4 linked regions of the Rattus norvegicus genome follow. The protein of the gene in region 4 purifies or fractionates together with the protein of the main gene of each other region. This does not show direct contact. Links are inferred from orthologs where the notes say so. Each region holds a gene or a part of one and is shown on either strand. Other genes may lie near its edges. The genes, in order: Gcfc2, Paxbp1, Atg2b and Hdac11.

Region 1 (7,500 bases), about 9.1 Mb from region 4:
TTTGGTATTTGCTTTCTGGGTTTTTTTTGTTTTGTTTGTTTGTTTGTTTGTTTGTTTTAAGTGTAAATTTCTCTTCATTCGTCCTTGAATTCCACTTTTAAAATCATACCAGCCTACATGGGGTTGCCTGTATCCCTGGAAGCAGCAGTAAGCCTCAAGAATGACATAACTGCTCCCTAAAAAGGAGGAGTCCAGTTTCATCTAGTCACACATTCTGGAGCATAGCCCTCTTCTCTGTCCCTAGTGACTCTCTTCCATTTTATGAAGTTTATTCTGTTGCGGGACTCAAACCCAGGGCCTTCGACATGCTCAGCAGGCACTGTACACTCAGCTCTAGCCCAGCTCCGTTCTTCAGTTTTTCAGATTTTTACCAGCTTCTTCTAGTATCTCCTTGCTGTCTGTCTGCATTTCCCCCTCACCTTTCTCTGACAAAGTCCTTCCTTCTACCCATCCCTCAAGCACATGCTCCTCACCCCTTATCATTTGGTTTCATAATGTGTGATACTTGCACTGATATTGGAACTATTTATTCAAGAATTGAATGTATACATATGATTACAAATAATGCTTTTTAATCCTTTTTATAATTTATTATTGATGAACTGCAAAATTTGGCTTTTGTGTTTCAGATTAGCAGCATTGTGGAACTAGAGTCATCCATGTACACACTGCTTTTAAAACACTCAGAAGCACTTTTGAAACGCAGGCAAGATGAGCTAAAATGTGAATCCTCATATTTGCAACAGTTATCACGTTAGTGTTTTATTACATTTCATCACTTGTTGAGCTGAATTGCCATATGGAGAATAAAAATATTTTTAGAGTTCTGTGTTTTAAAAAAAGCTGTTTAGTTGGGGTGGGGGTTACTATTGCTGTGAAGAAGCACATGACCAGCAGTGAGTTAGGGAGGAAAGGGTTTATTTTGCTTACACTTCTGTGTAGCAGTTCAAGCACAGAAGGAACCTGGAGGCAGAGCTGATGCTGAGGCCATGGGGTTGCTGCTTACTACCTTGCTTTCCTACTTCCTCAGCCAAACCCAGGGATAGCCCCACCCACAATGGGCTGGGTGCTCCCCATGAATCACTAACTAAGAAAGTGCCCTACATACAGTGCTTGCATACAGACAGACCTTCTGTCTTAAGTATATTTTTCTAGTTATGTATGCATTACCATGTGTGCAGGAGTGTTCAGAGGTCAAAAGGGTGTAAGTTTCCCTGGGCCTGGCAGACTAGACACTTAAAAGCTCCTGTGGGTGCTTGGAACTGAACCCTGGTCATCTGGAAAAACAACCAGTGCTCTTAACTGCCGAACCATCTCCCCCGGCCCCTCGACACAGAGTATTTATGTGCCATTCAATAAGCAGAGTAATTGGAAATGACTCCCCAGCAATTGAGCTCTGTAGGTGAAGGGCTGCACAACTGGTGGGTCTCAGCAGAGTTGGTAAAGAGTGGCTCTCAGCTTCCTCACACCATATTGCCGCTGCACTTGTGTCTTAGCACGATGCTTAGGGAAGGAGATCCTGTGTGGTGTGGCTGACAAGAGTGAAGTGACTGTCAAGCTCCCTCCCACATTTGGTCAGTTATAAACACTGCAACGTGCTGAAATGGACAGGCCATAGTATAAGTACGATGTTGGTGGTGTAAATATCTCTAGTACACGACTATGGGGGAAACGGGGAAACTGCTCGAAAAGAGAGACACCTGCTCTGGTAAATGACATACACCAGCAAGGCCAGTGGGCTTGATGGCTGTGAATACTGATAGGTAATGGGCGTTACGTTCTGTGGCATAACAAATGTACACTATGAGACATTACGTGTTCTTGTACACACATGAAGTCACCTGTTCAGTGATTCACTGTTTTGAGACTAGTACAAAGCTAATTTTGTGAATTAACAGGCAAAGATGAGACATTGGCAAGTGGAAGCTTGGCTCTGGATGAAAAGGATCAACGGATTTTAGAAGAGATTGAAGCTCGAAGGTATGTGTTTGAAGTGCAGACTTAACACACTGAGCAAGGACTTGTCACTACTTCCGTAGAATCAGCTGTGTGGTAGTCCCAGTTTTCGAGCGTGATGTAAACCCACAGCTGAGTTAGTCCCGCTGGCCTCCCGCTCAGAAACAGACTGGGCTCAGGAGGGTCGGTGAGGTGGCCATTGCTAGGAGGGTTGCTTTGAACTGGAAACTACCTCTAGCTAGTGGACTCTCCCTAAGGAACCTTTACATTCAGAGGATGACCCAAGCGGGGCATTAGAACCAAAGCAGCTGAGGAAGCAGAGAGTGTCTGAGAGTAGTGACATACATGGTGCCATCCGGTGACGTGTCACTATAAAATAGTAACATTGTGATTACTTTATTGCACAACACAGGGTGCAGAGAAGACAGGCAAGGGTGCTGTCGGGCAACTGTGACCATCAGGAGGGGACATCCAGTGATGAAGAGCTGTCTCCTGCAGAGATGACTAACTTCCACAAGCGCCAAGGTCAATTGCCAAGATTCTAACCTATTTTGAAATGTTGAAATAACGAGGAAGGCTTTGTTGTGTCTGCTTTTAAATCTATATTACTAAAACAGGAAAATTCAAGGAAAGTGGAAACATCTTCCTGTAAGATGGCTGCCTCTGGAAAGGGGGCGGTGTGAGCTGCTCCCACGGCTCTTGGCTGCTGCTGGGTTACAGTGGGCATTGTGACTGCCCTTTCCTTATGTTGTACCATCTGCAACTAAACAGCTAAGTCACTGAGGCTGATTGTGATGAACTCGCCTTAAAGGCATCACGAAGCCGATTAAACCCTCAAACCCAGCAGTGCATCTCAGTGAATGTTGCAGCCAGCACGGTGGTTCTGAAGCCTCTTAGGTTTCTTACTTTCACCATCAGTCACCTTTTGTTTTTCAAGGTGTTTCGTTTTGTTTTTGTAAGGTTTATTAGAGGTGTAGATGCCCCTGTTGGACAGATTGGGCAGGACCCAGTGTGCCTGTCCTTCAGAGTGTTGTGGCAGTGATTGATTGGAGTTGTTGCACCTTGAATTGGTGTGGAGTACTAAGACTTGGGCTCTGTATCCTTTTAGTTCCCGTTTCGTTACCTGTCCACCACACGTGCACTCATGCACACACAAAGGAAGAAACTGATAGAACTGACACTAGAAAGGCATGTATGTAACTCTGTGTCCTCTTTCACAGCTGCGTGCCCTTTACCTGTATTATTATCCCCTAATGTTGCCCTTTCTTGCTCTCCTTTCTAAATGATACACTGTACCTGCACTCGATATCTGTGCAGTGTAGGCTAGGATCTGTACAGGAGACAGAACAGAAGGTCTCAGGTTCTTCCTGACATTGGATGACTCTTACCAGTATACATTCTAGGTTCATCCACTTGCATGCAGACTTCGTGATTCTGTCTTTCCTTAGCACTGAAGAGCACTCCATGTTGTACATACACCAGGCTCTCAGTGTCAGCTCAGATGAAGACGCGCTCCTTGGTTGGTTCCATTTCCCGGCTATAGAGCATCAGAAATCAAGGTGCCGATCTCTGTGGTAGGGTATGGAGATCTCTAGGTGTGTGCTTAGGATTAAAATTGCTGGGCCATTTCTAATTTTTTGAGGAACCTCCAAGCAGACACCACCAGTGAATAAGGCTCCTTTCCCTCATCTTCTCCAGCATTGGCTACTGGGTTTTTTGATGGCCTTTCTGACTGTGGTGAGGTAGAGTTACAAAGTAGTTTTAATTTGTGCTTCCCAGTAGTTTGGGGTGTTCTCCAGCCTTAAAACTTGTTATCGGTCTTTCATTTTCTTCTTTTGAAACTGTTCAGTTCAGTAGCTCACTTGTTGTTGGGCAGTTTCGTTTCCTTGGTTTTTAATTTCTGTGGGTCTTGGTAAGTTCTAGATCCTAAGCCTGTGTCTGAGCACAGCCGGTCAGGCTTTTCTCCTGTTCTGTGGGCTGAGTACTCTGCTGATGAGTGAAACTACTTACAATGGTCTGAGAAGGCTGGTAGTGCAGCTCTTTAAAAGATTCTGGGCTTTGCTGTTTACTAGATCCAAAGGAAAGGCGCCTTTTTCCTTGCCTGCCTCAGTTCAGTTGTTTGCCTGCCTGCTTTGTTTAAATCAATGTATCTTCTCTGCCTTAAAGGGAAGAGGGCAATGGTAATGAAACGAGACAGTGAGTGTATGGTACATTGGCATATAGACAGGTACTCAATACATGGTACGCTTTCTTAGTATCAATAATATGACTTTCAGTATTAAAGTGACTTTAAATAAAATGAATATATGAAATAGAAAATTTCCCAGCCCAGCTGGTTAAGTAGCAACTCGTGACTGTTGGTAAGAAACAGGCTTAAACTGCATAACATAAAGAGACTTACTTTGTTTGCAGGTGACATTTTACAGGATTGTAAGAAAGTTTTTGAAGATGTGCATGATGATTTTTGTAACGTCCAGAATATTTTATTGAAATTTCAGCAGTGGCGAGAAAAGTTTCCTGATTCCTACTACGAAGCCTTCGTTGGTTTCTGCTTACCAAAGCTTTTAAGTCCCCTGATACGAGTTCAGTTGCTTGATTGGAATCCTCTTAAGGTATCAGTGTTTAACATGTGACTGTCCTGGTCATGTCAGCTGCTTTTGCTCTTGCTGTCAGGTTAGGTCTAAAATATCACAACCTCAGCCTGGCAGGATGGCTCAGTATACAAAGTGCTTGCTGCCAAGGGTTATGGCCTCGGTTTGGACTCTGAAACCCATGTGATAGAAGGAGAGAATTAATTTCCACATGTTATCCTCTGGCTTCTACACATGCCATCTCCCACTTGCACAGATTAGTAAATAAACATCATTACAAAGTAAAAATGAAATCATTTGCCCTTAAAGTTGTAGATAAAATTTAGAGCCCTGGAACAACTGTCTAGAAATTTATCTGAACTGTATTGCCTGGGACCCTTACATGATGTCGGGGGTGGGGGGTGGTAAGGAAAGAGACAGACAGACAGACAGACAGACAGACAGACAGAGACAAGCTGGAGTAAAACCTAGGGCCTTCTATGTGCTAAACAATCATCAAACCGTTGAGCTACATCCCCAGCCATCTTTTGCTCTAAAGGCATAGAAGACCAAACATTAATAATTCAAACACATTTTAATACCTTTGCAATGTGTGGAAATGTCCCCAGAACTATGTAATACTGAGTTTGGTTAACATTATGTAGTACTGAGTTTGACTTGCAAACCTGTTTTGAGGATTATGAGGTTGGAGATAACTCATTTTTGAAAACAGTAGTAAGCGTGATATACAGAAGGTAATTTGGAGTTGTTTTTTGTTTATTTGTTTTGTTATGTTTTGTTTTATTTGTTGAGACAGGGCTTCTCTGTACAGCCCTGGCCGTCCTGGAACTGACTGATCAGGCTGACCTCAAACTCAGAGATCTGCCTGCTTCTGCCTCCTGAGTGCTGGGATTAAGGGTGTGCACCACTACCACCTGGTGGGAATGTGGAGTTTTAAAAATGTTTTATTACATGTATTTGTGTGTGTGGTGGGGTACACACATGCCACGGCATGCATGTGGAGGTCAGAGGTCAGCATATGGGAGTTGGTTCTCTCCATTATATGAGTCTCAAGGATCCACATTAGGTCATCAGACCTGGCAGCAAGTACCTTTACATCCAAGTCATCTCAGAGACTTGAAAGTAGTGTTTTAGGAAGCCACTAGAAGTAGTTAACCTGGAAGAAAGAGAAATAAAATATAGAAGACTATTTATATAATCAAAGTTCAGGGTGAGCCTGACAAAGGGATGCTGGGTTATAAGTGTGTCACAAAATAAGAATTAGTAAAATAAGGAGGAGCTCTAACTCTCCATGTGCAGACCCTCCAAGGCCTGGATCCTGCGCTGAAGAATGGAGCTCTGTAAGGAAAGCTCTCAGCACGAGCTTACAGAGAAGATGGTGGAGAGTGTCAGTGTCTCTTCCTTGGCCTTACGCATGTGTCTTCAGGCTTCCTGGGACCACAGCACCGTCCCAAGTTAGAGCAAGGTCATTGCTATGGAACTGTTAGGGAGTGTGTGGGCAGCACCTGGGGTTAGCCATTCTGGCATTTCATTGATCTACAAATAGTAATAGCCTTTGCTGTTTGCTGATTGGCTAACAAGCTAAACCACATGCACATTACACATTTATTCTTAAGTGAAAGGACTGAAGTCAATTTTGCTTGAGGCAGTTGAATGAATTTTACCAGTGAATTCTGTAGCAGTTCCAAATGCCTAACTCAAAGATGTTATTTCACTCCGGTCAGAGAGCCGCCATTGCTGGTCTCTGAACGTCCTGGCGCACAGTGGGCCACTGCCGCATTTTTGTTGTACAGATGAATGCATGAAACACAGTTCTTAGTTATTCTGCCTCAGTGCTGTATACATAGTATTAAAATACATGATTATTCTCTTTGAGCCTTAGGAAAAATCTAGGAATTTTGGAAAAAGTTAACTTAGAAAATACACACATTTAAGAATGTAAAACTTTTATTATCTCATCTTATAGATGGACTCCATGGGTCTAGACAGGATGCCCTGGTTCACAGCCATAACAGAGTTTATGGAGAGCGGCATGGAAGATGTAGGAAAAGAAGATGGTTCCGATAAAAAAATCTTGTCTGCTGTCATCAACAAAACAGTTGTTCCCCGCCTCACAGGTATCCCTGGTAATTTTGATTCTGTTAGAACTTTGGAGATACAGGAAATACTGTGTGTGTTAAAGAGCAATAGATTTCAGATTGACCTGGTTGGAAAATGCTTGTTTGTGCAAATGTTGGCTGTCATAGTAGTAGTGTAGTATTTGACCAGAGTATTTTTACATATTCCAGAGAAATGTGTTTTGAACTTGGCTAAACTTGGAAGGACTTATTCTAGACAATGGTTTTCTTTTTAACTCTTGTGCTTGAGCCATCCATCCTATGGCTAGGGAACATCGGTTCTGTGTGTTCTGAAGACAGCAGTCCCAGGGAGTGCTGAAGGATGCATTGTTGTACAGGGGAGCAGGAGAACATGGAGAATGTTTCTGGGGTTCTGACTCAGTTGACTTTTCCTGACTTGGGAATCTGAAGGAGGCGGCATCTGGTGGCTGTGCTGTGTTGGTGCCAGTCCCTGAGTGGGGTGTTCGATGGGTGGCTGAGTGTACCATCAGAGGGGTTCAGGCAGGAGGCAGCTGGGTGTGGGTGGCACTTCATACCTCAAAGTGATGTGCAAGAAGGAACGAGAAGGATATTACCTCAGTCCTAAGGTCCTTTTTAGCATTTAAAAGCCACAGAAGTGACAAGTATCAGCAAAGACCAGAGAGGATACCAGGAGGACTGCATCCCAAAATCAAAGAAAGTATTTCCAGGGAGAAAGGTGGGGCTAGTTGTGGTTGTTGACAGTAGTCACACAGTATTAGTCACACAGTATTAAAATCAACCTTTAAAGCTGGCTTAGGTGCACAGGCCTAGTTGAAAGGATTCCTGGAGCAAACAGGAAGAAAAATATGAGGTAG
Region 2 (7,500 bases), on a different chromosome or scaffold from region 4:
GTGTCACAGTTGGAATTGGCGTGTGGTCCTATATTCATCGGGTTGTAGAAGAAACTATGTCAAAGTTTGCTTTTTATAGTCAGACTGGTGGACCAATGTCCAGTTTCTCCAGCTAGTTCTCAGCAGCAGGGTGGGGAATCCCCTTTTAAGGTACAGAGGAGCGAGAAGGTGGAGGTTGGGCCCAGCACTCACTTAGCAAGTTTTCCAGGTGATTCTGTCACATGCTGAAGCTTGAGAAGGCTACCTTGAACCACATGTTTGTGTTTTTGTTGTTGATGTTTTAATTTTGAAGATGGGTTTCCTGGGTATGCAAACAAAGAGTTTGATAAAACCCCCTACCAAGATAGTTCCAGTGACGTGTTCTGTAGCAGCATGGAGAAAGAGCATAATGTGAGCATTTTTATATGTAGTGTTGGTAGTGTCGGTAGCAGACTGACTGTAACGAACTTTGGAGTGGCTGAAAGAGTCCTGGTTGTAAACCAAGTCACTTTTCCTGATAACACCTTACCTGGATCCTAAACTTTTTTCCATTTCTAAACTCTGAGAGACTATTTTTCTGAAAATCATTAGAAATAAAATGAGTGATTTTACCAGGACCCAAGAATTATACAACCCTATGTTTATTTGATTTTGAAGAGTATTGCAGTTATTATCTTAATTCCTTTCTGGGAACTGGATATAATTTTTGCTGTTTGTGTTCATAACTAAAGGCATTTATTTTTTAAATTAGTTTTCTTATACATTCACTTTTTTTTCAGGTTCAAGCAAGTCAGCCCACTGAAGTGAATATGTACTACCAGAACACTTACCAGACAATGCCTTATGGTGCATCCTATGGCGTACCTTATAGTTATACAGCCTATGGATCATCAGATGCCAAGTCTCAAAAATCAGATAACACAGTCCCTTTCAAAACTCCCAGTAACGAGGCGGCTCCCATTACTATTGATTTGGTAAAGAAACAGCTTAAAGACAGGTAGGGCAGATCAACTTCTTAAAGACCTGTCTGCTAGCTTTCTGGTCCCTCAGGCAACCTGTAGTCTGGGTAGCAGATGCAGAATGCCGGCAAAGAAGACTCACTGGCCTATCTTCACAAGCTAATCAGAAGATGACTTCATGCTCTGCTCTGCTACCTTCAGGAGTACTTCTGTGGAAGCCTCAGCGTTATTAAAATGCTGCTCCCTGAGCTTGTCGAAGACAGTGCTGAGTTTTCACCTCTTGGACTCTGAAAGTGTAGCCAAGAGATGGGGGGAGACCCAAAGCAGAAGATTTTGGTTAGCCCACCAAATAACTATTGGAAGTCTAAACTGCCTTTTTAAATTTATTTTTTATTTTTATAAGAAAAGCAGTACAGACAAAAAGATGCATTCCAAGTATTTTCATGTTCTAATACTGGAACTAAAATGCATATAATATTGCAAGAGTCCTGACAGCATTGAATTCTAGATGTAAATGTGCTATATTTATCCTTTTGTGTTCTGAAGGTTGGACTCCATGAAAGAATTGCACAAAACCAATCGACAGCAGCATGAAAAACACCTGCAAAGCCGAGTGGACTCCACCAGGGCCATTGAGAGACTAGAAGGGTCTTCTGGGGGCATTGGTGAACGGTATAAATTTTTGCAAGAAATGCGAGGGTATGTCCAAGACTTGCTTGAGTGTTTCAGTGAAAAGGTAAGAATGCAAAAATAATAATCTCTTTGAATAAGGCAAAAATAGGGAGACCTAGACGGCCTTTCATAGAGCATCTTATAGTTCCCAGAAAAGAATGCACCCAGCTTTAGAAGTGCTGAAGTCATGCTCCATTTTCTTTACATCATAGTTGAGGGCAACACAGTGAGTGCTTCAAACAAATAGAGAGAGACTGTCTCAGAGTGCATGTTTTCACACTGACAAGTCCTGTCTCAGTACCATGTTAGTTGCTGGTCTGCACTGGATTGATAGAATAAAAGGGATTCACCTAATAGTGTTTTGTTTTTATGATTCAGGTCTAATTTCACTTCTACACTATTTTTTAGTAGTTCTAAACATTTATAAGTAGTGCACTATATGACAGGTTTTTGCTAGTTAGTTCTGCTTTTTATGGTGGTATTTCTGTTAGTTTTTGTCTAAGCCAACGCTTCATTCATTTCAGAAGCCATTCATTATGTTTTTATTCATTGAACATTTCTCATTTCTGAATTCACTGCTCTAGTATGACAATTGACAAAATCTTTTGAGTATATTTAAAAACGAGTTGCATACGCTAACTTCTCAAGTAACTTCCTGTTTGTTCTAAGATAATTCTCCATACATATCATGCACAGATATATAACATAATAATTTAACATTAGAAGGTGGGAGAAAGAGCGGCAAGATGGCTGAACAGGTAAAGGTGCTTGCTGTTGAAGCACCCTGTGAAGTGGGAGGAGAGAGTGGGCCCTCCTTCCACCTAGGTGTCCTCTCACCTCCACACACAGGCAGAGGCATGAGCACCCCATACATCATGCTTACACACCATCATAGGTAAAACTTAAGGAAAAGTAGATATCTAGCTTGATGGGCTGGTTTATAAGCATTAGTTGGTGTATTTCACCTCAGCTTTAAAAAATATTAAAAGTATGGTCCTTACATTTTTTTTTCCAGAATCTTGGCTAGGAAGGCAATTTTTCTTTATTATTAACTAGGTGGTTGTTGTTGTTTCTTTTGTTTCAGTAGAATCTATAGAAAGTATGGTTGGATGTTGGCTTCAATACAATAAAGCCAAAGGTTAAGGAAAGTGCAGTTAGACTTGTCTTCCTGATGGGTCTTGGTTCAGTTGTGTGTGGTCAGATGGGACCATTCGTCATAGCCTCCCCAGCACTTTGCATGGTGTGAAGTATTGTCCAGTGCCCGATGCACCTGCAGTTGTCATATCGGTTAGTTGCTTGGGGCCAGGAAGGAAACATGAGTTTAGATGTTTCAGCAAGACTGGAAGTAGGGCCTACGTGTCAGAGCACCAGAATAAGGTCCTTTCCTTAAACAGTGCTGTATGTGTGGGCATGGGCTCTGGGACCTGCTTCTGTAAGTGTCTTGGCTTTGGCTTTATAGAACTTACAAACGTAAGCAGTCAGGGTTGCAAGTGTGATGCTAAAGTGGATAGCACTGCTAGCTATGCTACCCTAGATTAAGAAGAGTTAGGACACAGTGTCTGCTTCTGTTACTGGTTCATTACTGTGCTTCCTCTTCTGCATACCGTGTTCCTGAAGAAGTCTACTTCAGATAGTTCTAGTTGGCTATAGAGTCACTTAGATATGTTGTACCAGATCTGAACCCTTACATATTGAATATATTTTCAGGAAAAGGAGCAGATAGTCCTGTATTTCAGAGATGTGTACTTCATTCTTACACCTTCACATGCATAGAGTCAGTTGTGTGTGCTTCTGATGAAAATGTCATGAGTTGTCACCCTTATGATGTTTAAGATAACAATTTTAAATTAGGGATAATTGGATAGGTATGAATGTTATGTTTAGTTATGCTGAAATACTCTTTCAGAGTAAGTTAAATATTCTCCTCTTTGTGAAGTTAGAGTGCTTTTTAAACTGAAGTTGTCTGTTGGTCATTTTAACTTGCACAGCTTAGTTTCCCTGTCAGTCATCTCTTTTTTTCATTTACATTTGCTCCTAAATAAGTTTAGTGATAGCTTGTAGTTTTTAAAGGCTAAAGAAACTGTCATGGCAGACTCTTTAGATAAATCCATGTTGTGAACTTTGAAAGAGATAAAAAATTGAAACTTAAGCTTTAGTTCCCAGAGTTGTCTTCTGAGTTTTAAAAAAAGGCACTCCAAGTTCCTAAATGAGATAATTCTTTACAGTACCAGGACAGGCTCGAGCCTGTAGGGAATGCTTTATCTATGACTAAGGACACATTTCAGTACCTTCGAATTTACTCTTGCAGGATTTCAAGAAGAACATTACTAGTTATAGATGTGCAGTCCAAGCCACAGTGATAACAGCAGCAATTGGGAAATAAACATTTCAGATTAGGTAGTGACTTTGGACTACAGAATAATCATTGCCGACTGGGGACATGCTTGCCCATGGTCTGGCATATTAAAGAACAGAGGACCTCCTGCAGCCTGACCTTTCTGTGAACATTTGCCACACTGGCAGTGGAGTTCTGCAAGAATGAAAGCTTTTCTTACAGGCATCTGTGTATCTTACCTGGCTTTTTATTTCCCAGCTACGGGCTGTCTGGTCTAGGAAAATGCTGTAACACTTGGTGCCAGTTTTCTAAACGCTGATTAGTGTCTTTTCCCAATTACCAACCGCCAGGAAACATGAATTTCTGGTTTCCTTGGGTTACATATAGTGGTCCTCTGTGTTTTGTGGAAGTTTCATAGCATTTGGTTGTTTAGTAAGGTATTTATAAAGAAAGATGTTCTGGTTTTTGAAATTTTAGATGCCATGTTCTGAAGTCTTTGTATTCATTTTGTACTAAGTAAACTAGATAAGTATATTAAGTTAGAAAATTTTGTTGACCTTGAAAGCTTATAATTTATTTGAAGATTTTATTATAAAATAAAAACTCAAACATTTGCTAGGAAGAGAAATTTCAGTTTGATTTCAGACTGGCTAGCAATAGCTAGACGTTTTATTTACCTTTTTAGTTTAATTGTAAGATGTACAATAACGTTGCAGAATAGTGTAATACTATTGTAGGGTATGTTGTATGAGTGAGTGGCTGAACAACTTTTTTTTTTTTTTTTTGGGGGGGGTTCTTTTTTTCGGAGCTGGGGACCAAACCCAGGGCCTTGCACTTCCTAGGCAAGCGCTCTACCACTGAGCTAAATCCCCAACCCTGGCTGAACAACTTAAAATAGACTAGTTAATAGCTCAACAGTCCTTTAAACCAGGAAGTTTACTAAATGTGGTGTGTGTCTGGAATTGCATCAGTCAGGAGGAAGAGTCAGGAAGCCAGCTAGGGCTCATATCGCCCTAGATCAGGTGAAACTACATAGACTTCATCTTCAAAACAGAAAGAGAAACCTATAAAATTTGCCATGTGGATCATGTTGCTGGATAATTAAAATATAAATTTGTAAGATATATAAATACTCACATTTTTCTAACCATAAAGCCTGATCTCTCTACCTGTTGTTCTTATTAACACAGAAGCCTTACATTTATTAAGTTAACTTTTGCTCCGATAACCAGGCACTGGACATTTTGCTTTGTACGTGGGTTGAAAAAGTATTGCTTCCTGACTTAGAGTGACTTGCTGTTCTGCTCTTGTTGGGGACGCCTGCTTATTTTGTCCATAGAGAGAGTACTTTTTCAGAAAAGCGGAAATAGCATGGAACCCTCAAATGCGGACATGGCTGAGGAGTTTGGTGTTACGGAGTGTGTTGTATTTTTACAGGTGCCGCTGATTAATGAACTTGAATCAGCAATACATCAGCTGTACAAACAGCGAGCTTCCCGCCTTGTCCAAAGACGACAAGATGATATTAAAGATGAATCTTCGGAGTTTTCAAGCCATTCAAGTCAGTCCATCTTGAAGGTTTTTATTTTTCATTAAACAACCTTGTTTACTTAGTGCAGCCTAATTGAAAATTACAGACCTTTTTCTTTTAAAAATTTTCCTTGTTCATAAGTTAGGTAGATCTAAAAATTGTAATGCATGTACTTGGGTTATGTTTAAGAAAGTATGACCTAACCAAGGAGCCAAATACTGTACTAATATTCTATCCGTCTCCTCTTCCCTGGATGTGCTTTTCAGTCAGCCCTTAGAACACACAAACACATGGTCAGCATTATCCTAAAGCCACTATCTCTCTGGCCCTAATTGACAGCCCACCCCCACCCCAATTGCATTCTGCTCATGACACTGATAAATACTGTTTTGATCACAGCAAGAGATACTGAATTTAGGGATTTGGAAGTTTCGGGGAAAGGAGCAGGGAGGAGGTTGTGTTGTGTGACACGTGATAGCTTCAAAATCAGAGGAGTTGTTGCCACCCTGGGTAAAGCAAATGCTTTTGTATTTCTTTTAAAAGTGCTTTGTTTCTAGTTCGCTGTATATTACATGTTGTATATATACAGTTCTGGAAATTTTGTGAAAATTGTAGAAATTGAATTGCATTGTTACTTATGACATGAATTAAGGGAAAAAAAAAAACACCAAAATTAATGGAAACCTTTTCAATTCCTGTAGTTGAGATTCTTCAGCCAGATGCCTTAGAAACCCTTTTAATCATCTCCCTCATTGCATTCCATATCCTTGGGTGGTTTGGTGGGAATTTTCTTAGTGAAGGTTCCTCGTGCTTTCTTTTGTCCTTTCTTTGTCCCTGTGCTAGCAGTCTCCATATGTATCATACTCCATATGTATCTGACGTGCTCATTTAAAATGCAGATCTTCTGGTCCCATACCTGGAGATTCTTCCTAGGGCCTTCCTACCCAGAAATCTGCATGTTAAACAACTGCTCCTAGTGATTGATAAAGGAGCGTTGTGCTGTTCTTAGAACAGTGCATAGCCTGTCTTCCCCGTCAGCTACTGGATCCATGGCAAGCATTCTCCTGATGTCTGATGGGGTGTGAGAGAGGCATAAAGAGAAAATACTGCGGCACTCAGATCTGACCCCTGCAGATTCAGCTGTAAGCCATATGAATGGCTTTGGCCTGGTTTTGCTGTAAAAGTTTTAAGTTACATCATTGACTTCGGGCACGCACCTAAATGACTAATGCATGCCTCCCAGATCCCTTTAGATTCAGAGAGCCAGATATCGGGGGCAGATTACAGGTAACCATTGTACATTTAAACGTACGTTGTACGTTTCCTTTTAAGTTTAGTGCTGTGAGCTCTGTAGCACATTGACTGTCCTCACTGTTTACAATTTATTCTTCATAGTGTGGGGCTGGGTAGTTACCTGGGATTTGAAGTGATAGTTACATGATGCATGTTAATTAGACTGAAAAATGGGAAGCATTGACAGAAAAGTGAAAAACCCAGTGTTTTTGAGGGATATAGTTGACAAAAATGTTAAGAAAATTATATGAGATATGAAGGAATCAATTCAGTGTTCCTTTTAAAAGAACGGTGTCAGGCTTATCTGTTTAGAGTGTAAGCTCTTATCTGCAGTTATTTTTGTATAGTTGTAGCAGGAATGAAGGAAACCACATTTTGTTTTTGTTTTTGTTTTTTTTGTTGTGGTTTTTTTTTTTTTTAATTTTTCATCAAGCGTGTAAGCAGTGGAGTATCAATTTAATGCCAGCTATTTAAGGGAAAAATAAGGACTCATGAGCTCTGGAGTAGTTTGGACAGAACAGAATTTAGGGCTTGTTTTTTTGTTGCTTATTTCAGTAGCAAAAATCTACATGAAAAAAATCTGCATGAGCTTCAAGTGGCACCATTTGTTGTGTACATGCATGCCGCCTGCCAGTGTTTGTTTTGCTTTTCAATAACTAGTCTGTATTTTCCAAAATGTTTTAAGTAGAAATGGGGGACTTGTAGAAGACAGTTTTCTCTTCACCCCATAG
Region 3 (7,500 bases), on a different chromosome or scaffold from region 4:
AGGGTCTGCTAAGACTGTGCCTAGAGCAGTGTGCCAGTGAGAGCTGAGAGCTGCCGAGCTCTCCTACCAGACCTGGGGGTGCTTGCTGTTCTGTTGCTTGTTTGTTTGTTTTTAAGATTTATATATTTTATGTATATGCGTACACTGTCGCTGTCCTCAGACACACCAGGAGAGGGCGTTGGATCCCATTACAGATGGTTGTCAGCCACCATGTGGTTGCTGGGAATTGAACTCAGGACCTCTGGAAGAACAGTCAGTGCTCTTAACCACTGGGCCATCTCTCCAGCCTCTGTTGTTTGTTTTTTAAAAGAAGGTCTCACTGTGCAGCCCTGACTGGTCTGGAACTTGCTGTGTAGACCAGGCTGGCCCAAGATTGCTTCTGCCTCTTAGAATTGAAGACATGCTTCATTACACCTCACTGAGTTTTAGTCAGCTTCCACCTTTAAAGTGTCCTTAGTGGGTGTGATTAGGGCTTTGCGTGTGTGACACAGGCAACGCTAGGTGACTGTCTGATCAGGTGTGCTGTCTCAGTCCTTTCTCTGCTCTTGCTCCGGCTCAGCTGTGTTCCCGCTGAAAGCACAGAGCTGCTGTTTTAAAGCCGCTTCACAGCGTCGGTTTCCATTTCTGCTTGAAATCTAAGCTCACTTAGGATCCCGGAAAGGGGGTTTTCCGTTCATCTGTCTCCACTTACGAGCTTCCCGTTCGCCTTGTGCTTTGTGTCTCTAGGATCTTTAATGACTTGCTTCTTTGGGAGCCCACAGCTCCTTCACCAGTGGAGACACTTGAAAACGTTTCCTATGGCATCGGGCTCTCGGTGGCCAGTCAGCTGATAAACACCTTCAGCAAAGATAGCTTCAGTCCCTTCAAGTCCGCGGCTCCCTATGGTAATGCATTTTACATTGGTTCTGATATAAGCCCCTTATTTATAAGTCTGATGTCTCCTCTTCATATGCTCTACTTTGCTTGGGAATGTCTATGACTTCCCCATATCTGGGACTATTCTGATGAGGACTGTGCTGCTCAAATGTGGAATCTCTGGTGTGATCATCATGTACATGTTTGAAATTCCCTTGGAGGCCTGTGTCCCTCATGGTTCTGTCCTGTGTGAAAATGCAAAGTGCTGTTGTGGTCATTGTAAAGTGCTGTCTTGCGTAGCTGTCAGGACCTGTAATAGTAGATCTTTTCCCTGCGTAGATGAAGACAGTGGATCTGAAGAAGAGACTTTGCAGTATTTTTCTGCTGTTGATCCCAACTATCGTTCCCGTAGGAAAAAAAAGTTGGACTCTCAGAACAAGAACTCTCAGAGCTTCCTCTCGGTGCTTCTGAGTATCAATCATGGACTAATGGCAGTGTTCACCGATGTAAAGGTATGCTGCGCACTCTCCTATAATGAAGTGGGTGAAGGTGGGCTAGTGTGGGGGATGGACGCAGTGGTCCAGGATGGCAGAGACTGCAGCTGCTCTGGGAGCTCCTTTCTTTGCTCATCTAAGGCTGTATGGCCTCCCTGTAGAAGGCACGAGCTAATTTTGCCAGTGAGGGCAGTAGTTGTAACTTTTATCTTTCTCATTTTAAAAGAAGGTGAAGCGCAGGTACTTGTTACAGAAGACTTACATAGCACACATGTTATGCAGTGTTTTGCCTCACTGTATCGGGTGGCTCAGGAATCACACTGCCTTATGTGGCGTGGAAGGTTTCCTGAGTTAGATTCAGAGTGAGCATGCGGAGACACATTCTCTCTGCATTTAAATTACGGTTGATGGGGCCTGAAGCTCAGCGACTAAGAGCTCACCTACTATGTGCAACTACTGTGTGCGTTAGGTTCTATCTCCAGTACTAAAATTGAACAAAAGAAACAAAAAGTGACTTATGTCCCCTCCCCCTCCCCCCACCCCGCTGTTTTTTTAGCAAGATAATGGAGATCTGATGGAGAATAAACATGGTGAATTCTGGCTAGAATTCCACACTGGCTCCTTCTTCTGCGTGACAAAGTACGAGGGTTTCGATGACAAGCACTACATCTGCTTGCACTCCAGCAGCCTCAGGCTGTACCACAAAGGTAGGGCAATTGTGCTTTTTCTTTCTTCTGTTTGGCGAGTGAACTTCCTATTTGATGCAGTCTTGAGAATACAATGATGTAAGTTGTATTCTCTTGGGAGTTCTGGTTTTGTGGCCAAAATCATACTTAAATATTAAAACTTTTTTGTTTGTTTTGAGATAAGGTCTCACTGTATAGCCAACACTGGCCTTGAGCTTGAGATTCTCCTGCCTCAGCCTCCCGAGTTCTAGGATTGTAAGTACGCACTACCTCACCTGACTGAAAATTTTGAGTAGTTGTCTGAATTACTCTGAATAGGCACAAAGAGAGAAAAATCTTATTTTCCTAGCATTTTAGAATCTTAGTTTTTTTCTGGTGAGTTTTTGCCTCAGTCATACCAACATGGACAAAGAGAAGTAGGTTGTTGCTGCTAAGCTGGCTTTTTCCCCTGTGCCACTGGAACTGTGCCAGTGTCTGTGGGGATCTCTGCAAATGCACCACCAGCAGAGAAAGTTTAGTTCAACACAAATCAGTAGCCAGTGTGCTTCAAACTGCAGAGTCTGACACTGGGCAGTTTATTTGAGGCAGATTTCAGTATGGCATAATTTGGAACAGTCTCCTGCTGTAACACAGCCCTGTGTGCACAGTGAGGCATAGTTATATTGAAACCCTTCTCAAAGTCCTTGTCATTTCTTCTGTGAAGATGGCATGTATAGATAGACTACATGTGTCATCTTAAGGGCCTGAACAGGATCTGGCATGGTCTTAGTCATACAGAGAGTGCAGAGTTTACCCACCTCCAGTCCTCTTTGTAAGAGTCTGGGGTGCCAGGTATGACCTGGCCTAACAGGTAGCATAGGAGTCACCAGACTAATTAACTGACTCCGTCCCTAGCCTCCTGGGCAGAAAACAGGTTATATATCTCTTCCTTTAAAGAGACAATCCTGTATGTTTAATGTTCCTGCTTTCCTAGTGGTTGTCTATGAGCACTAGGCCCTCTGTGCCCCCAACTAGGTTCAAAGGAATATAGACTTGTCCTGGAAATTATGTCAGAAATGCTCTAAATCGCAGACGTCTCTGATAGTGAGCTGCCACAGTGGACATTCTGTGCCTGACCTCTTGAGATTGGGGCAAGAGCACCAATTGGATCAAGAGCACAGGTGAACCAGAACCGTGCATGAGTGACCTTGAACCTGTTGTCTGGGGAGCACACAGTGCAATGAGTCATGTCCAGAACTGTGCTCTCTCCCTAGTATCTCATTTAATGTATGTGAACATTCCCTACAAAATCCCATCTGCTTCTGCTTCTGAGCATTTTGGGTAAAGCATACTCAGTCTGTTCAGAGAGTCCTGTTGTGAGTTGTCAAAGTCAAAACAGTTGCGGAACTAATTGCAAGTGATCATTTTGTTGGTGTTTTTATCTCAACGTGTATCTAGGCATAGTAGATGGAGCCATTCTCCCTACAGAGACACGATTGCCCTGTTCAACGCGCCCACATTGGTTGGAACCTACAATTTATTCCTCTGAAGAAGATGGCCTCAGCCGAGCTGCCTCAGATGGTGTTGGGGGAGACAACTTGAATATGCTCTCTGTTGCAGTGAAGATACTGTCGGATAAATCAGAGTCCAACACGAAGGTGCGTGCCTTACACTGCTACCTACGATTATTGGTTTGCTTGCTTCCCATTGGTGATTGTATCAGTGCCCACACCTATGTTTTCTTGGGAAGACTTGAGTTGGGGATTCTGTGGATTAACGTGGTTCTTTGTGTTGTCCTGTGGTGCAGGAGTTCCTTGTGGCTGTGGGGCTGAAAGGAGCCACTCTACAGCACAGGGTGCTGCCCGCTGGACTCAGTTGGCATGAGCAGGTAAGAGCTGACACCTGTGTCATGTCCTTTTTTTTTCTTTTTCTTTTTTTCTTTTTTTTTTTTTTTTGGGGTTCTTTTTTTTGGAGCTGGGGACCGAACCCAGGGCCTTGCACTTCCTAGGCAAGCGCTCTACCACTGAGCTAAATCCCCAACCTGTCATGTCCTTTTAATAGCATTTACAAGTCACGACGCCCAGAAGGCAGGTGACTCTTTCCTCAAAATGCTGTCCCGATAGCTTCTCAGTGTCAGCATTGTTAGATCAGTCAAGAAAAGGAGTGCCTGTGGAATGCCGGGCCTGGAGGAGCAGCCAGTGGTACTGAGTGCTGAAAATCAGCAGCTCTTTTTTTTTTTTTTAATTTATTTATTATATACAGTGTAGCTGTTTTCAGATACACCAAAGAAAGCAATAGATCTCATTACAGATGGTTGTGAACCACCATGTGGTTGCTGGGAATTGAACTCAGGACCTCTAGGAAGAGCAGTCAGTGCTCTTAACCTCTGAGCCATCTCTCCAGCCCAATCAGCAGCTCTTTAAAGGCCACAATGTCTGCAGGCTAGTAGTGTGGCTTTGCCCAGGTCATTTCATCAGCATTTTTGCAATTAGTATCCAGTTGAGTCCTCCATACAGAGTAGAGTTAGGGTTCAAAATATTCTCTTTTTGTCGTCCGCCTACCTCTCTACTTATTTTTTCTATGCTTGAGACTAAACCCAGGGCCTCACACATGCCAAGTGTTCTACTGCCCATGATAATACAAAGCCTTAGGAGCTGGAGAGATGGTTCAGCGGTTAAAAGCACTGACTGCTCTTCCAGAGGTCCTGAGTTCAAATCCCAGCAACCACCTGGTGGCTCACAACCATCTGTAATGAGATCTGTTCTCTTTTGATGTGTCTGAAGACAGCTACAGTGTACTTATATATAATAAATAGATAATACAAAGCCTTGCACTGGACCCCAGCAGCACAAAAATGCAGCAGACATCCAGGACATAGAGATAAGGAAGCTGAGGATTTCCCTGAAATTCCTATTTCCTTAACTCTACCTCCTGCGGAAACCAGAGTTTTGAAAAGTCATCTTCAACAAAGTTCCTTCCAAGAATTGTTTTGGACAATATGTCAATTGTATTATTACGCATAGTTTTAATTTAATAATATTAATTTCATTAGATAAGGCTTTCTCCCATCCGGGCACTAAGTACCAGCCAGTCCAGCCCTGTTTAGCTTCCAAAACTGGAGTAGATTGAGAGTGTTTAAAGTGGCATAAGATGGGGTGTCTAAGGTGTCTGGCATTCAGTTACTGGATGTGACTCTTCATTCCAATTCAGCAAGTACTTTAGCCTTGTAATTTGTGTTACTTCTGGGACACAGCATCAGGCTGTGGTAAGAACACACAGTAAGACATCAGGCTGTGGTGAGCACACACAGTAAGACATCAGGCTGTGGTGAGCACACACAGTAAGACATCAGGCTGTGGTGAGCACACACAGTAAGACATCAGGCTGTGGTGAGCACACACAGTAAGACATCAGGCTGTGGTAAGCACACACAGTAAGACACCAGGCTGTGGTAAGAACACACAGTAAGACATCAGGCTGTGGTAAGCACACACAGTAAGACATCAGGCTGTGGTGAGCACACACAGTAAGACATCAGGCTGTGGTGAGCACACACAGTAAGACACCAGGCTGTGGTGAGCACACACAGTAAGACACCAGGCTGTGGTAAGCACACACAGTAAGACATCAGGCTGTGGTGAGCACACACAGTAAGACGTTTGCTATAAGTAGGTCAGTGCATCTCTCCTCTTAACATCCCTGTCATGCACACACTTTCAAAATGAACTCCTTCAGAATGACAGTGTTTTCTCATAGCACCCTAAGTCACTCTGTTCCATACTTGTTAAATGTATTCTAACAAAATGTTATTTCTTGTAAAGCAGGTATTATGTTTTTGTGATTGTAGATTTTAAACTTCTTGAATATTGCTGATGAACCTGTCTTGGGATATAACCCTCCAACTTCATTTACAACCTTCCACGTCCATCTTTGGAGCTGTGCCCTTGACTACAGGTGAGACCAGGACAGTTTTATTGATAGCACTGATTTTAGAACCACCAAGCTAGGTTCATTTCTCGGGATCCATATCACCAAAGAGAAGAACCAACTGCCCCAGTTTGTCCTTTGGCTTCCACACACACACACACACCACACAGCCACACACACATATGTAAGTAAATAAAGTGTAATAAAAATTAACACATTGATTTTTGGATAAATAATTCTACCTGCTGTGGGGTCGCACTGTAGCTCCAATACTTACCAGGCTCAGGTAAGAAGACTGAAGATCCGAAGCCAGTCTGGGCTCCATAGTGAGATCCTGTCACAAAAAACCAGAATCCTAACAGGACAAAGCAGAGCCCTCCAGCAATCCCATAATTGTCTAGCTGAGTTGATCGTGTGTTCGGAAGTGCTGCAGCAGGCTGGTAACCTGTTGCTTGTGTTTGCTACCAGGCCCCTTCACCTGCCCATCCGATCCCTTCTCACTGTTGAGACGTTCAGCATCTCTAGCAGCGTCGCCTTGGACAAATCTTCCTCCACTCTCAGGTACCTGTGACTCACCCTGCAGCGGCTGCTATTCAAACACATCAGCTGGAGATACAGGGCTCCCTTACCCAAACTGACTTAGTCATGCTTCCTCAGGGCTCCTTCCTCAGGGCTGTGCTCCTCTGCTCCTCTTGCTGTCCATTTCCACTTTAGGGGAGGACTTTACCCCTAGACTCTCAGGTGGCTGTTTAGGCCCTTTGATTGCTTTCCTAGTACCAGACGTGTGTTATCTCTGAAATGGAAACCTTTAGACAGGGTTCTCAGAAGCCTAAATGACCGTGCTTTGGCACCTCCATGTCTTTTGGGCTACACAGGTTTACAGGTGAGGCACTGAGCGTGGTGTGGTGAGGTGCTGATGGCGCTGTGCTAGTCCTCGGAGCTCAGTTTTGCAGATGCTGTTTCTTCTCTTTCCCAGAATCATCATGGATGAGGCTGCTTTACACCTGTCGGACAAGTGTAACACCGTCGCTATAAACCTGAACAGAGGTGAGGTCAAGGCAAACTCGGGTCGATTACTGTTGCTGGAATGTGGGAATGCAGTAAAGCAGTTTTAGTAGGGAGTTGCTTTGGAAAGGTGGGCTCTTCCTAGGGAACTTTTAACAGATGCTGAAATGTGAAATATTTGCAACAACTTCAGGTTTCAGTTTGAGGTCGCAATGTGCTAATGGTGTTAGCTGTGTGTTTCTATACAGTCTAAATATCTATTTAATATTTAGTCACCTGTTGTAGCTGAAATTACGTGAGGTGTCAGATGAAGTCAGTGAGTCCAGCCTGGCTGCACCTCTCACACTACCAGTCCTGTGTGAGGGCCAGGCATGGACTTTAACAAAGGTTAGGTTTTGATTGGATAAGCAGTTTAAAAAACACTACAGTAAATATTGTATTAAATCTTAGATTATGTTCGTGTGATGGACATGGGACTTTTAGAGCTGACCATAACCGCAGTAAAATCAGATTCTGATGGAGAACAGGTCAGTTGTAATAAGTGGAAATTTTTA
Region 4 (8,130 bases):
GTCAGCAAGTGCTACAGACAGGAAACTTTTGAAGTGTCTTAGGACTGCCATTCTGTCATGAAGCCAGCCTGCAGAAAGGAGGCCACCGGCCATTGGTGACAGCTGCAAGTTTTTTGGAGGCAGCTGGCAGCTGCAGGAACCAATGCTCCCATGCCACTCAGGTGTGGTATCTTGGAGGCTACGTCTCAGGCTCCGTGGGTCCCCAATGTGTCTGTCTTTGGCAAGACCTCAAATTGGCCGTCCTTCTTCAAAGAGCATCCGATGCCAGGCCCCTGGTGGAGTGAGTGGGAGTCCTCTGGAAACCAGCCTTTTTATTCTGAGATGAGCTTCAAGGAGAAACTATCCCCTCCAGAGTTCCTCCACACAGCAACAGGGACAGCTGAGCTCCGATTGGTTGAAAACATGTACACGCAAATAAGGTACAAAATGGGGGCCAATCAGCGTACAGCTGTCAAACCCAGAGGAGAAAGAGAAAGCCTTCCCAGACTTAAAGTGTTCTTAATTAGGTCGACAGGTCCCACGTCCCTCACCATGATGTTAAGGAAGTGGGCACTGAGCTGTCAAACCTAGTTTCCTCAGTTTCTGGTTGCTATAGCAATGCTCTGATCACCTTTGCACCAGAAACTGCTGCAATGTCCAGGAGCCAATCGTTGCTGCCGTTGCTATGGCAACGTTGCTAAGGCAACAGTGTGCTCCTTGAGGATCTGCAGCCTGCTTCCCTGCCTCAGGTGTATTTGGCTCTCTTCTTGTCAGTTCAGTCTGGGGCGGGCAGGCTGTCAATCAGCAGTGCCACCAGCTTAGACTTGCTTGAGCTTGGTAGCTGTCAGAAAGCTCCGTATGGGAGCCCCTGCAACCCCTACCCCCTAAACATTGCACAGAAAATTCTGTACTCAGATTGGGGTAGTTGTGGTGGTGGTGATGGCGGTGGTGCTGGTGCTGACGTTGCTGATGGTATCAAACCCATGCTAAGTCCAGTACTCTACCATGGAGCTACACCTGCATTTCTTGCTCATTGTAATTAAAAGGTAAAGTGAATGGTGTGAAAGGGAAAGAATAATAAACATACAATGTTCAGTAAGTCCATGTCCTATCACGACGACGACATTATAAAGTGAAAAGCCACCTCTTTGAAGCAGCCTTCTGTGGTTGCTGTGAACCTGGGCCTCGGAGCCTCAGCTTGTACACTTTGCAATAATACATGTAGAACTTATGATTTTTGTGTCCTTTTTAAAAGATCTGCCCCTCCTGAGAGCTGGAGAAATGACTTGGTGGTTAAGAGCACTTGCTGCTATTGCAGAAGGCCTGGCATTAAATTCCTAGCGTCCACATGGTGGCTAACAACTCCAATTCCAGGGGATCTGATGCTCTTTCCTGGCTTCTGTGGACATTGCATACATACGTGGTACATAGACGTAAACAAAGGCAAAAACCCATATGTGTTTTGAAAAGCAAATGCTTGGTTTCTCCCACTAGCCCTTGGGTTTGGCTGAGGCTCTCTGCTCTGTCTACTGCATGCACAGCTTTGGCCCTGTTGCTGGGTCTTAACGGATGTGCTAGACTGCCATAACAAAGAGGCCCTCAAGTCGAACCACTCAAATCACACAGCTCGTTCTCACATCTGTGACCTTGCAGACAGGTGGTTCAGCCTGCTGTGAGAGTCTGAAGAGATTCACAGTCTCCAGTGTTCCTCAGACTACCTCCTTCCTCAGTCACAAAAACCAAACCTAGCTCATGCTGTTAGACTAACTTTGCTCTCTTGGGCCTCAGCTGCTAGGTGCTGAATGCTCTGACTCGTTCTCCTAACCTGATGCTTACCTGTGCAGCTTCCCAACCTCCAGAGCGAGTCTCCTGAGACCAGCCTCATGTGTTTGTGTGTCTCTTGTGTGTTTGCCTTAAGTTTTATGCATTTATCCACACCCTTGATATTTGGGAAAGTGACTTCGCCTTCATTATTTTGCCCCAGTTTCTCTTGTATAAAATGGGGAAAATTTTGCCTTCCAGGGTTGTTTAGAGTTCAGTGTGAATGAGGCTTTGGGGACTGACTTAGCACTATGTTACTGACTGGCACTCAGTAAGAGCTGATGTTATCTTTGGAGTTTTTCAGCTTCCCCAGAAGGTGCACAGTCAACATCACCTCATTCATCTCTAGATGTAGCACTGAAAGTCCAGGAAATAGATTCAACCTTCCAAGTCCAGGGTGCTGGCAGATGGCCCAGGCTGGGCTGAATACAGGCTGAATTCCTCATTGTACCAGAGGAATCAGGAAGACTCCCCTCCCAGTTTGTAATAACCAAATGCTGCTCCTTCTTTCTCTCAAGCCCATAGCAGCTTTGACTCATAAGTCCACTGTCTGATTTACTACAGTTCAAGCTCTGTAACTCCTAGCACATAGGCTAGGTCACATGGTGTAGAAACTCCCGCAAACTTCTTTTTTTTTTTTTTTAAGATTTATTTATTTATTATATATAAGTACACTATCTTCAGACACACCAGAAGAGGGCATCAGATCTCATTACGGATGGTTGTGAGCCACCATGTGGTTGCTGGGAATTGAACTCAGGACCTCGGGAAGAGCAGTCAGTACTCTTAAACACCGAGCCATCTCTCCAGCCCCCTCCCGCAAACTTCTAAGAACAATGAATTGCCTTTGTCCCCTGAACTGAAGGCAGTGTCTTCTCCAGATCAGCCCCACTACCCATGGCTGGTAGTAATTCCTGACTGACCTCACACTCCTACAGACAATTTTTTCCCCATCTCATCTTTGAAAATCTATATCCTGTTTTCTGAAAATTATCTAACAGTAGACACATCAGAGGCATTCTTCCAAACTGTCAGCCCACATTAGGACTTGGCTGGCAAATACATGCTGTTGGTGCTCATGCCAGAGAGACTGAGTTCAATCCTTGGAACTTACACAAAGGTGGAGGGGAAAACTTGTCCGACCAGAGCTGACTTCCGGATCTTCACATATGCATTGTGGCATGTGCCTCATGCCCCAAAAATCAAAACAACAAATGTTGCGGGTTCCCTTCACACGAACCTGTGGCTCCTGGGCTCCCAGCTGCCATGTTAGTCCCTAGCTGCTCCTCTGGTCAGCTGCTCCTGTTTGGTTGATGAGGACAGCTGGACCAACAGAGGTCCATTGTCTCTTCTTCTGACCTCCATTGTTGGGGCCTCCCAGGCTCCAGCCATTACAGACAGCCCCAGCTGTCGGTCAGCTTCCAGGTTCAGGGTATAGGGGAATAGAGACAGGAGAAATGTTCAGTTATACACGACTGGACCAGACCTGATCTACAATAGGGAAACAGGTTCAGGGCATTTTATGATTAAGTGGGAAGTGCTTATACCATGGTGAAATGGCCACAGATAGTACAGGAATGGAAGGCTGCACTCCAGGAAAGAACATATAGCAGGGCTGATAGGCCCAGAACAGACATCTCACCACCACACAGTGCAGGGAAGCCAAAGAACTCATCAACTAAGCAAGTATCTATTTCTACCCTGGGAATAAGGGCGGAGCTGCGCATAACCACGCCCCCCAGGCGGCACTCCATTGGGTGCGTCTCCTTGGCCGGCGCGGTCCGGTTGTCTGTGACGCAGCCGCAGGCCAGAACTCCACCCCCAGCTCCCAGCGCTATGGAGGCGTGTTCTGCGTAGGCCCTCCCCGCTACACCCCTCCCAACCCTCCCCGTGCGGAGTGGTGTCCAGAGCAGGCAGGGCCGGCTGCGGGATGTGAGTGTGCGGGTTCGCGCGTGGGACCAAGCATGGGTTCTGGGGATCCCCGTGGGCACGGCGGGACAGTAGGAGGAGGGCAGGGTGACCGTGCGGGTGAACGGTGGGTCTCCCTTCCGCAGGGCACCGCGGTGGGCTGCAGGGCTGCGACGAGGGCACAGCCTCCTGCAATCGCGGTCTACGCACTACTTCCCCCACCCCACCCCCTGCGCGTTTTGTTCCCAGCAACACAGATGCGTGAGCTAACTCGTGTGACAGCCACATTCCAGCCCTCTACACCCTACACCCCGCCTTCCCCCGTACAGGCCTTGGGCCTTGGCGCCAGTAACTCCTGAATACACCTGGCACTGGCATGTGACCTTGGGCACACCTGGTTCCCAGAGCTGCTGTGAGGACTGTGTTGGAAGCTGGTTTAGTCAAAGCCAGCCAGGGTTCAGGAAGGAGCTGTTTTCATTCCTGTTGGTTGTTAAGTGACCTGGTGTGAGTGGGGAGGGGGAGACTCTTTCCACAAGGAAGCTGTTGTCTATATCTGCGTCTCTTCTGCACGTTGAAGGCCTCACGCAACACAGCTGTACCAGCATGTACCAGAGAAACGCTGGCCCATCGTGTACTCTCCACGTTACAACATCACCTTCATGGGCCTAGAGAAGCTGCACCCCTTTGATGCTGGGAAATGGGGCAAGGTGATCAACTTCCTGAAAGGTAAGAGCCCCCCAAGACTGGCATCCACTTCCTCCATTTCCCTGTTCTCACCACCTCCTCAGACTTGTATCTACCTTCTCCATTTTTTCCTTCTTCAGGTCCTCATCACCCCCCTCGGTCCTGCATCTGCCTCCTCCATCCCTGTATTCATCACATTCTTATCTGCTTTCAGCCCCCAGACTGCCTCTGCCCTGCTGTTAAAGGGTCTTTCCAGACAGGCTGCCAAGCAAGAAGGGCCCTGTCTTGTATTCCCACCAGTTAGATCTAGTCCCTGTCTCCCCCCCTAAAAATCTAGAGCAAGCTCCTAGCTCTGCGTTGTGCAGAAAATAGGATCAAATTAGACATTATAACACAGCTGTTTCTGTTGGGCTTGTTTTTGTTCCTCTGGTGACCTCCTATCTACAGCAAGTGGTACAGCTTTTCCCTCCGCTGTAGGGACCGACCTGAACATCCAAAGGAAATCACGGACTAGAAAGCACACAGGTGACGCATGGTGTTATTGTAAGCCTGGGATACTAGCCTTGCACGTCTGTTGCCTGCACAAATGTTTTCCTGCTGGTGCTCTCTGCCCTGACCTGGGCTCCTGCCTCTTTCCGTGGCACAGCAGAAGGGCTCTTCATCCCCCTCAGCTGGGAGTGAGCAGCCAGTCCCTTTGAGGATGAGGAAGGATGGGAGGTAGGACCACAGGGCAGGCTCCTTGGGCGCCCAGGTAGGAAGGGAGCTGACTGAGTCTGGAGGTGTCAGAGGCCATGGGACACTGTGGGAGGAAGCCCCTGCCTGGATCTCTGTATAGATGTGGATGGGACTGGTTGGTTTCTGAGCATGACTCATTGACAGTAGACCTTAGATTCTGATTTCTCTAGAACCAGAGCATCATGGCCCAGTCTCACCGGACTTTGGGGGAAGTGTCTGGTCTCTCAGCCTCAGTTTCTTTTGCAAAATGAATCTTTGGTAGCCATATACAGAAACCTGTCCCTGCAAGCCACTCAGACACCCTGGTGTCCCCTATACCACCTACTCCTCTGTTTACTGCATATTTTAAGATGCTTTGAGATTTTTCAAAAACTTAACTTTGTTTTAAAAGGAAACACATGTCCTCAAAATGGGAAAAGGCAGTTTCACTTGCCATAAATAGAAGGTTGCAGCAGGAAGATAGCGCTCTGAAAACAGCAGTTGCGCAGCTCTGGCTTCTGCTGCCTGTGAGCCACTGCTCTCCTTTGGTTAGCAAGGGGCATGCTCAAGGCTCAGGCAGAGGAAAGGCCACATTGTCCCGAGCCACCTGTGGAGGGAGAGTTGCGCTGAAGAGCTTTTTCTACCTTGAGAACAATCCTGTTGTTTGTGCTGTCTGCTTCTGGAAGTCATCCATCTGTACCTGAGTTCACCTGGTGGCCGTCAGCAGCACAGAAAATAGAGAAATGGCTGTGTGTTTCGAGTGCCCCACACTGGCCTAGGGAGGCAGCCGTTCTCAACCCACAAGTTCACTGTGTGCTGAGGGGCTGCCAGGGGCTAGCCTGCAGCCTGAGGGAGGAGGGTCTAGAGGCTGGACCTGCTTTGAGAGCTGGGAAGGCAGCAGGGTCTTCCTCTGTGGTTCCAGAAGAGAAGCTGCTGTCTGATGGCATGCTGGTGGAGGCGAGGGAGGCCTCGGAGGAGGACCTGCTGGTGGTGCACACAAGGCGCTATCTCAACGAGCTGAAGGTACAGTACCAGGATCTTCGGGCTGTGGTGAGAAGCAGTGGCTGGAGGGGGAGAAGCTCAGCTTTAGGGGTCCTGTCCCCAGCACAGGGGAGGTTCTTAAGATAAGGAGGGGGCCATAAGATATCTCTGTGGGTAGTCAGCTCCCCATTGTCAGGGTATATGCAGACGGGGTGTGCAGACAGAACCCCTTAGAGGTTTGGGCATATTAGTGACTTTCAGCCTATGCTCTGGACAGGGCTCAAAGGCCGCTGCTGGCATCGCTTTAGTGGGAGGGAGACATTGGCCCTTGTCCTGTCCACAAGGCCACTTTATTCTGTCCTGTTTCTGGAGTGGCCAGAGACGATATTCCAAGACCTCCTTATAAATGAAAACTCTTGGGCTAAAATGGCTTTGAAATGCCCCCAGGGCTCGGGAGGGAACATAAAGATGGTGGTGGGGGCAGATAGAGGTGTCTGGGATGGACTGCAGAAGATCTTCCCCTCCCATGTGGGTCATGTGGTTGGTTGCCGCACTGCTGGACCCAACATGATTACAGGACCTGCTTTTTCAAGAGAAGCCAGAATGCTGCTTATTAAATGATATTCTCAGATTTCTTCCTTTTTTTCTATTTTTTTTTTTGCTTTGTGATTTTCTGGGGGGTGTTTTTTGTTTTTAGTTTTTATGATTACTGGGACTTAGCATGTTAGGCAAGCACCCCACCACTGAGCTCCAGCCCTAGCCCCACCCTGATTCTGAATGTGTTAATGGTAAGCTTTTAAATCCCAACTGTAGGCCACACTGGGCTACCACTGTCTGCCCGTGGCCTCTTCGCACAGGAGATTGTAAACTCCTATTGGAAGTCAAGGTCTTTAATATATCCTTTATGTGACAGGTTGGGAGTGGGGGGGTGGGCATGGTTGCTAGTTTGCCCTGGCTGGAACTGCATCAGGGTGCCATTGAGTCTCTACCTCAGAGAATGAGAGTTCTGGTTCCCAAGTTTCCTGTCAGAGCCCATGGCTTCAGGACTCTACAGATGGCAGAAGTCAACAGGCTGCTTCACTCTGTCTGGAAAGACCTTGGCTCAGGAGTAGTCTGTGCCTCCTCAAATCACTTGGGCAGGGTGCTGTTAAACATGGGGAGGGCCCTTGTGGGCCTCTATTCAGGACTAGGGCCACAGCTGTTGCCTCTTTTCCCTCCAGCCATGGCCTGAGCTGTGAGAATTCTAGATAGGCCATGGCAGTGTGAGCTTGGGAAAGATTGCCAGGAAGACGCTGGCTCCCAGGAGAGAGGTGTGAGGTGTTGGCTAGATGCCCAGTGCCTGGCTGCCCTGGTTTCCTGGGGCCCAGACATGCATGATTAGTCCACAGCCCAAAGCCTGGCCAGGAGTCAGAGGTGGGAGGGGAAGGCAGGGGTAAGATGCTCTGAGTTTGGACAGGGAGAGACCAAAACAGAGTGGGGCCTGGATGAGGCAGAGGCTGGGGGGATAGTTACTAGGATTCCACCCATTTATAAAACCTCATGGGAAACTTACAGAGCAGGGGTCCCAAAGACTATGGAAGCAGCATAGTCTGTGATTCCCAAATAGGAAATAAGAGCAGAGATGGGGTGGGGGTTTGGGGGGGGTAGTGGGGTGGAGGTGGGGGTGGGGTGGCTCAGCTATATCAACATAACACATAGCTATTCACCAAGAGGATGGGCGATGTAACAGTTGGCTCCAGGCTCTGTGGGAGCCAGATCAAAGGGAGAAACATAGCTTTTGTAATACACCAGGTCTTGTGTGAGAGTCTGGAAAGCTGAGGAGGAAACATGGGTTTTATCTTGAGTACCACGAACAGGTTTGCAGTGGGGGAGTGATGCACCCACTCAGATGAGATCCGTTATCTAATGTACAACTCAAGCACACCTCCCCCACCCCGTGTCTGCATTGTCTGTCCCTTCCCTCTACTGTGGGCATCCCAAGTGGTGTCTGGCAGGTCTCTAGGTTCCCAGGGTGGTGGTTCTTGGGTCTTTCTGTGGGTGTTG

What was found.
Region 1: the proteins of Hdac11 (region 4) and Gcfc2 purify together in Homo sapiens (co-immunoprecipitation; 3 studies listed by BioGRID and IntAct, counting the BioPlex papers as one, with this or other methods). This does not show direct contact. The link is inferred for Rattus norvegicus from reciprocal best matches to the Homo sapiens genes HDAC11 and GCFC2.
Region 2: the proteins of Hdac11 (region 4) and Paxbp1 purify together in Homo sapiens (co-immunoprecipitation; 3 studies listed by BioGRID and IntAct, counting the BioPlex papers as one, with this or other methods). This does not show direct contact. The link is inferred for Rattus norvegicus from reciprocal best matches to the Homo sapiens genes HDAC11 and PAXBP1.
Region 3: the proteins of Hdac11 (region 4) and Atg2b purify together in Homo sapiens (co-immunoprecipitation; 3 studies listed by BioGRID and IntAct, counting the BioPlex papers as one, with this or other methods). This does not show direct contact. The link is inferred for Rattus norvegicus from reciprocal best matches to the Homo sapiens genes HDAC11 and ATG2B.

Annotation. Positions count from the first base shown.
Region 1 is NC_086022.1:116,057,829-116,065,328, forward strand, and holds part of Gcfc2 (intron Large complex component GCFC2), read left to right. Parts: intron 1-629; coding exon 630-753; intron 754-1,898; coding exon 1,899-1,980; intron 1,981-2,368; coding exon 2,369-2,481; intron 2,482-4,368; coding exon 4,369-4,568; intron 4,569-6,513; coding exon 6,514-6,664; intron 6,665-7,500.
Region 2 is NC_086029.1:43,771,424-43,778,923, reverse strand, and holds part of Paxbp1 (GC-rich sequence DNA-binding factor 1), read left to right. Parts: intron 1-758; coding exon 759-976; intron 977-1,484; coding exon 1,485-1,674; intron 1,675-5,382; coding exon 5,383-5,506; exon of another isoform or gene 5,507-5,523; intron 5,524-7,500. UniProt on the Homo sapiens protein: Adapter protein linking the transcription factors PAX3 and PAX7 to the histone methylation machinery and involved in myogenesis.
Region 3 is NC_086024.1:130,310,082-130,317,581, reverse strand, and holds part of Atg2b (autophagy related 2B), read left to right. Parts: intron 1-726; coding exon 727-884; intron 885-1,194; coding exon 1,195-1,367; intron 1,368-1,905; coding exon 1,906-2,056; intron 2,057-3,472; coding exon 3,473-3,672; intron 3,673-3,821; coding exon 3,822-3,902; intron 3,903-5,861; coding exon 5,862-5,968; intron 5,969-6,409; coding exon 6,410-6,502; intron 6,503-6,917; coding exon 6,918-6,988; intron 6,989-7,396; coding exon 7,397-7,473; intron 7,474-7,500. UniProt on the Homo sapiens protein: Lipid transfer protein required for both autophagosome formation and regulation of lipid droplet morphology and dispersion.
Region 4 is NC_086022.1:125,203,668-125,211,797, forward strand, and holds the start of Hdac11 (histone deacetylase 11), read left to right. Parts: upstream 1-3,660; 5' UTR 3,661-3,730; coding exon 3,731-3,732; intron 3,733-3,738; exon of another isoform or gene 3,739-3,764; coding exon of another isoform or gene 3,765-3,835; intron 3,836-3,894; exon of another isoform or gene 3,895-4,197; intron 4,198-4,285; coding exon 4,286-4,434; intron 4,435-6,028; coding exon 6,029-6,129; intron 6,130-8,130. UniProt on the Homo sapiens protein: Responsible for the deacetylation of lysine residues on the N-terminal part of the core histones (H2A, H2B, H3 and H4).